Linked DNA regions of Oryctolagus cuniculus. The protein of the gene in region 1 interacts with the protein of each later gene in a pairwise test. Links are inferred from orthologs where the notes say so. Each region holds a gene or a part of one and is shown in the gene's direction. Other genes may lie near its edges.

Evidence for each region.
Region 2: the proteins of CHD3 (region 1) and SIRT6 interact in a two-hybrid assay, tested with the Homo sapiens proteins (2 studies listed by BioGRID and IntAct). The link is inferred for Oryctolagus cuniculus from reciprocal best matches to the Homo sapiens genes CHD3 and SIRT6.

Annotation. Positions count from the first base shown.
Region 1 is NC_091448.1:52,452,872-52,456,142, forward strand, and holds the end of CHD3 (chromodomain-helicase-DNA-binding protein 3), read left to right. Parts: intron 1-253; coding exon 254-751; intron 752-965; coding exon 966-1,092; intron 1,093-1,499; coding exon 1,500-1,740; 3' UTR 1,741-2,770; downstream 2,771-3,271.
Region 2 is NC_091447.1:59,690,017-59,693,756, reverse strand, and holds the start of SIRT6 (NAD-dependent protein deacylase sirtuin-6), read left to right. Parts: upstream 1-1,252; 5' UTR 1,253-1,327; coding exon 1,328-1,393; intron 1,394-2,131; coding exon 2,132-2,259; intron 2,260-2,376; coding exon 2,377-2,559; intron 2,560-2,667; coding exon 2,668-2,727; intron 2,728-2,943; coding exon 2,944-3,039; intron 3,040-3,120; coding exon 3,121-3,201; intron 3,202-3,351; coding exon 3,352-3,475; intron 3,476-3,549; coding exon 3,550-3,740. UniProt on the Homo sapiens protein: NAD-dependent protein deacetylase, deacylase and mono-ADP-ribosyltransferase that plays an essential role in DNA damage repair, telomere maintenance, metabolic homeostasis, inflammation, tumorigenesis and aging.

The DNA of each region.
Region 1 (3,271 bases):
ACACCCTCCTACCTCGTTAATGATAGATTCCATCCCAGAGCCCTGTAACCATCTAATCCTGCCTGGCGGAGGGACTGACTCCTGGCCCCTGTGACCCTCATAATTCTTTGAATCTGTACTTACTGATCCTCTAACCTCCCTCTTCCCTGACATATTAAAGCTTTGATTCCTTAAGTCTTTGACACGACTTCCCGCCTCCCGTGCCCCTGCCGTTTCCTCCCCTCCTCCCCCACCCCAAACCTCACTCTTCCAGTACGGGATGTTCTGACAACTCCCCGCCCCCGTGTCTTCCAATGTCCCCCCATCTCCCTCCTCTCCACGTTCTCCTTTTCTTCCTTCTTCCTCTCTCTGTCCTCTGGTGGCCTGGTCTCTGTCTCTTTTCCTAACACTTCTTCTCTTCCCCTGAGTTGCTTTCCTTTTTCCATATACTTCTGTCACTTTCTTGGTCTCTGGCTCTTCGACACCCCTGCCCCCTTTCTCTGTCTCTCTCTGTCTCTCTCTCTACCTGACTCCTGTCTTTTCCTGGCTCCACCTCTCTCTTTCCCTGTCTTTCTCTTGCCCTTCTTTCTCCGTGGCCCGGGCCCCAGTTCTGAACCAGCTGGAGGAGTTGCTGAGCGACATGAAGGCGGACGTGACCCGCCTGCCAGCCACGCTGTCCAGAATACCCCCCATCGCAGCCCGCCTTCAGATGTCCGAGCGCAGCATCCTCAGCCGGCTGGCCAGCAAGGGCGCGGAGCCGCACCCCACACCGGTAACCCTCTTGCCCCTAACTCCAGTTCTCCCTGTGGGTGCTCCTCACGCACACATGTAAACACCTCCATCAGAATCCTAAACAGTGTGGAAAAACAACTTGCTAGACGCAGTCATCACCCCCGAGTGAGTCTCCCTGCCTGCGTGGTTGCCCCTGCAGCTTCCTGGCTCTCCAGGACCCTGGACTGACTCTGACTGACTCCTCTCTGTTCCAGGCCTTCCCCCCGGGTCCCTATGCCACACCCCCGGGGTACGGGGTGGCCTTCAGCGCCGCCCCCGTAGGGGCTCTGGCCGCCGCAGGCGCCAATTACAGCCAGATGCCTGCAGGGTCCTTCATCACAGGTGAGCCGTGGTTTCTGCTCCCGCCGCTCCCCTCCCCTCCTCCCTTGCCAGGCGCATCCCTGCCGCCTGGGCTCCGTTCTTCCCATCCCTTTCTTAACCCCTCTTCATCCCCATTGTCAAAAACCTCACCCAGGGTTTTGGTAGTTTTGCGGCTGGGTTAGCTCCTACCCAAGCCTCTTGCATCCGGGGCCCTTCAAGGGTAGGTGAAGGTGACGTCAGAATGGTATAGAAAGAGCTGGAACTGGAGCTCAGTGCTGCGGCACAACAGGGGACCTCAGCAGGAGGGAGGGCTCCGTGCAGGCCTCCCCAGCCCTTCCCAGGAGAACCATGTGGCAGGAGACTGACAGACGGGATGCGACCTTGGGAGTGCCGCAGGGTTCACCTCTCCCTACCCGCTTCGCAAACAGCCGCCACCAACGGCCCTCCAGTGCTGGTGAAGAAGGAGAAGGAAGCGGTGGGGGCACTGGTGCCAGACGGGCTGGATCGGAAGGAGCCCCGAGCCGGGGAGGTGATCTGTATAGACGACTGACTGGACCCCAGGCCTGCCCTTCACCCAGGCCCCGTCCCCGAGGCCGACCCCCTGCTCAGGCTCTGGGGCCTGCTGCCGACCCTCCGCCTTCCCCACCCCTGGGGCCACCGCTGGACTAGGCGCCCCGCGGCCCCTCTCTGCAACTCCTGTCTTCAGGAAGGGCCCTTTGTCTTTCTCCACGCCCCCGCACCTGTCCCACCGAGCTCTGAGGACTGTGCCGGTGAGAAGAGCCCTGGGTGGGGGACTGTTCGCAGGGTCTTCGTGTACCTTGATCCCCCCACTGCCAGATAGACGCAGCTTCCCAGTAAGCGGTTGTGGGGAGGAAAGAGGCGGCGCCTCCCTGGTCTCCCCCCCTCCCAACCACAATATCAGCTCCATCTCCTGCAGACGTAGGGGACTAGCCTTGCCTGGCCTTTAGGAAATTTTGTGGGGGAAGAAGAGCTTTGCAGAGAGGAGGGGGACTTTTAGAGAGGGATGAAATGAACGCTGGGAGGGAGAAAGGGAAGAGGCGGGGTGGCTGCATGTTACCCCCCCATCTCTCCCCCAACGGAGGGGGGAGCAGTTACGAGGGAGGGAGCCCATTGCTGTTCAGCCTCAGAATAAAGGCGCCGTTCACTGGCTGTTACCTCCTGCGTACCGGCATCTTGTGTTGGGATTCTTAACCCTCCAAGGACCCCCCCACACACAAAAAGAATAATGGTTGGGCGATACTCCCTCAAGCCAAAGAGGAGCTCCCCAACCTGTTCTAGGGACCCAGGTAACCTAGAAAGGGTGGGAGAGAAGACCACAGGCCAGCCTTGGGGGAACGCCCGGGGCCAGGGCTCGGCTTCTGGAGGACTTCTGCCCGCCCTCCGAGGGCCTGCACACAGACCACATTTGAGTGTGTCAGGCAAGGGGCCTAGTCAGGGGACTGTTCTGCCTTTGGGACTAGAGCAAAATAGTGGAGGGCAGGCCAGGAGATGTGGGCACATCCCCGTCCCCACGGGTCGGGGACAGTGGCAGTTTGCATGGCGAACCCCCCACTTCTGCGCTGCCCCTTCACTTCTTGCTGCCCCTCTCCCAGTCTCTCTCCACACCCGCTCCTGTCTGCCCGATCCCCTCTTCTGTATCAGGTTTATTGGTTGTACATATAAATTATACTTTCCTTTCTGTGTGCTCTGTTATTTTTGGCTGGGGGTGGGTAAGGGATTAAGAAAGGTTATCGCTTTCTGCCATTTCATATTATCCATCTTTTTCATTTTATTTTAAAAAAATCTTCAGTTAACTTCCTTTTCTTCGTTTTTATTTCTCGGATCATTCAGGAAACGCGGGGCTCCTTTTCCACCCTAGCCACGTGGTGAGCTCAGTGTGGAGGTGGCTGCCTCCGTGGCCTCGGGGAGGCGCAGCGGAGCGGGGCTTCTGGGCGAGGTGCGGTGGAGGCTGCGCAGCGGGGTTCCGAGCTGTGCGGCCTGATCCCCGAGCAGTCAGTAGAGGGCACTGCAGCCCCACGGGTTCAGTTCCACTCTGCAGCAAAGGGACACACTCTTCTTTAATGGGGTCAGACCTGTGTGTGTGCCTTGCCAAAAACTGGGCAGCCGCACTTGTCCCTAGCAGGGGCTCTCAGAGGCTGAGAGGCCAGACACTGAGTTCTTGAGGCTATCATTAAAGAGC
Region 2 (3,740 bases), on another chromosome or scaffold:
CCGCGGCCTCAGACCCACCTCTGTCTTCTTAAATCGCGCCCGGAGGGTCTTCATGCCCAGTGTCCCCCTCGCCTCGTCTCTCCGGGCCTCCTGGGGAGGGGCAGGGGTGGCAGGGGGGGCGGGACCCCACCCCGGAGGGCAGGGACAGGCAGGCTGGCCCCCACCGCCCCCGCTGGCCCTCCCGGGGCCCCCTCTGGGCAGAGGCGGGTTCCGGGACCCCACTCCCTCCCGTCCACCTGCGTGCAGGCCCGCGGGGCGTCTCCAGGGGGCGCTGCGTGAGAGGGGGGTCCCCGGGGAAGGACCACCCCTACCTGGGGGCCTCCTGCCAGGGAGTAGGGGCGGGGCGCCCTGCACCTGCCCGAGAGGCGGCCTGGGCCGTGGGAGTCCCTGGGCTCAGCGGAGGGGCCGGGGTCCTCCGTGTCCCCAAAGCGCCGGGCCGGGGAGGCAGGGTGGGGCTGCGACCCCCAGGCGCGGTGGACGCCGGCAGGTGCAGCTCGGCCCCGGCCCTGCCTCTCACCTAAGTGGAGCCCCCACCCCAGGCCCCTCGCCTACCTCCCGCGGCTCCGGTGCCCCGTGCCCACCGCCGGCTCCGGTTACCCGCTCCCAGCTGGGCCTGGAGCTGATACCCGCGGCTCCCGGCGCCCGGCTGGCTCCGACACCCGATCGGCCGCGAGGCTGGGGATGAGCGAGGGAGGGGACAGGCGGCAGCTGGGCTGCCCGTTGGCCACGAGGCTGGGGGGGAGACGCCGTGCTCCCCCCATCCCCACTGCTTGGGTTTCAGTTTCTGGAAGGAGCCACGGGCTGCCCTGGGCACCTCAGCCAGCTCCTGGCCTGCCTCCTCCAGGAAGCCTTCCAGGATGCCCCAGGCTGGGGCAGGAGCCCCCTCTGAGGCCCCTCACACAGTAGGTGCGCAGCATGCGTGACCTGTCCAGCTGCCTACTGGCCAATCCCCCGGGATAAGGCTCAGGGACCACAGAGCGCCCCCCGGGGACCCTAACTGCATGGAGTCCAGGGCACATCTGCGTCAGGTTCACTAATCAGTAAAAAGGGCAAGGGGCCCCCGAGCGCTGTGCGCCCTCATTTCGGGGCCACCTCTCACGCGGGAAGCCGCTGCAACTCCCCGCCCCCAGCCCAGGGGCTTGCAAAAGCCGGGCTCCCTCCCTGCCAGTACTTAAGATGGCGTCCGCGGCGTCAGCGCGACGCGCGCGCATGCGCCCCGGCAGGCGCGTCCGTCAACGCGGTTCCGCCTTCCTGCCCGCCCCACCCCGTTTCCGGCGGAAGCCGCCTCAACAAGGGAAACTTTATTGTTCCCGCCGGGGCGGCCAGGATGTCGGTGAACTACGCGGCGGGGCTGTCGCCGTACGCAGACAAGGGCAAGTGCGGCCTCCCGGAGGTGAGCGTGGCCGCCCCCGGCGGAGGTGAGCGTGGCCGCCCCCGGGGGGCCGCGGGCGGGGCATCGCGGGAACACCGAGGGGCGCCCGGCTGGACAAGGGGAGGGACTTCCCAGGGGGCGGGAAGTGACGCCCCCCGCGCGCCGGGGACCCCGAGCGCGGCTGCCCGGGGTGGGGGGGCTGGGCCGGGGTCCCCGGGGTGATGGGGAGGGGGCGCGAGCTGGGAGTCGGCCGGGAGGGCGAGCGGGGCGACCCCCGGCTTCTCCACGCCCCCCCCACTTCCTCCTGGGTCTCCACGCCCCCTTCCTGTGAATCGGGGTGGGAGGGGGCGAGGAGGGCCCCCTCCCCGGGCAGGCGGGCCCCGCTGCGGGTGCCGGCGGGAGCCCCACGCCTCGGGCTGGTGTGGTTCCTCCTGTCCCGGAACTCACTGGACACCTGTTGTGGGCCGGGCGCAGGCTGGGGGCTGGGGGCTGGGCCCGGAGCCTGGGGGCTGGGGGCTGGGCCCGGAGCCTGGGGTGGGGGGCGAGCCAGCCGAGCAGCTGCCACTCCAGTGCGGGCACAGACAGGGGGCGCACTGACACCAGCCCAGCTGGCGGGGCAAGGCGGCGGCGAGGGGGGCGGTCCCTGTGGACACGGCCCGTGCAAAGGTCCTGTGGCCAGCGGCGGCGCAGAAGCAGCGAGGGGGCCGGGGCAGGGGGCCACCGCGCTCGAGCCGCGCCCTCTGCGCCCCCGCCCGCCAGATCTTCGACCCGCCCGAGGAGCTGGAGCGCAAGGTGCGGGAGCTGGCCTGGCTCATCTGGCAGTCGGCCAACGTGGTGGTCCACACGGGCGCGGGCATCAGCACGGCTTCGGGCATCCCCGACTTCAGGTCAGTGGGCGCGGGAGGGCGCGTCGCGGCAGGGCCAGCGCCCGGGTCGCCCAGGGCGCCGCCAGCCCCGCCCCCCGCCCTGAGTCCCAGGCCCCCTCTCCCTGCGCGCCGCCCCAGGGGCCCCCACGGCGTGTGGACCATGGAGGAGCGCGGCCTGGCGCCCAAGTTCGACACGACCTTCGAGAGCGCGCGGCCCACGCAGACGCACATGGCGCTGGTGCAGCTGCAGCGCGTGGGCCTCCTGCGCTTCCTGGTCAGCCAGAACGTGGACGGGCTGCACGTGCGCTCCGGCTTCCCCAGGTACCGCCGGCCCCGGGGGGTGCGGGCAGCTGCGGCGCGCGAGCGGTCCCGGCAGGCTTCCTGGAGGCGGCGGCCTCGAGCCGGAGCCTCCGTCTGCCTCTCCCGCAGGGACAAGCTGGCTGAGTTGCACGGGAACATGTTCGTGGAACAGTGTGCCAAGTGCAAGACGTGAGTGGGGCCGTCCGCGGGCCGTGGAGGCCAAGTTCAGGGCCGAGGGCTGCCCCAGACCCAGAGCCCCTGTCTGAACTCCCGCGGGGCTCCGGGGCCGCAGGCGGAGCTGGGACCGGCCCCTCCCCCAGAGCAGGTGGCTCCAGGCGCCCAGGGACCCCGGGAGGGAGGGGCCGGGCCGCGCCCCCACCTCCCCGCACGCCCCTCCCCCCGCAGGCAGTACGTCCGCGACGCCGTGGTGGGCAGCATGGGCCTCAAGGCCACCGGGCGCCTCTGCACCGTGGCCAAGGCCCGGGGGCTGCGGGCCTGCAGGTGAGCCCCCCCCCGCCTCCCCGCCCCCCGCCCGCCCCCCAGCCGCCCCCGGCTGCACCCCCCACCCGCTCTGCCTTGCAGGGGGGAGCTGAGAGACACCATCTTGGACTGGGAAGACGCCCTCCCCGACCGGGACCTGGCCCTCGCCGACGAGGCCAGCAGGTCTGACCCCTGCCTCCCCGCCCCCACCGCACCCCCACGCGCTCACAGTGGCGGGGGGAGGAAACGGGGAGACACAGCCAGCAGGGACTTGGGCGAAGTCCGGGAGGGCTACCTGGAGGTGGCGGCCCAGCAGCCGGCTCCCCCCCCCAGGAACGCGGACCTGTCCATCACTCTGGGGACCTCGCTGCAGATCCGGCCCAGTGGGAACCTGCCGCTGGCCACCAAGCGCCGCGGAGGGCGCCTGGTCATCGTGAACCTGCAGCCCACCAAGCACGTAGGTGCCGCCCCGCCACCCGGCCCCCCGCCGCCGTGGCCGCCCCGCCTCACCCCTCTGTGCCCCCCCCGCAGGACCGCCATGCAGACCTGCGTATCCACGGCTACGTCGATGACGTCATGACGCAGCTCATGAAGCACCTGGGGCTGCCGATCCCCGCCTGGGAGGGGCCCCGCGTGCTGGAGCGTGCCCTGCCGCCCCTGCCCCGCCCGCCGGCCCCCCTGCTCGAGCCCCGCCCCCTGCTCAACGGCTCCGCCCCCAAACA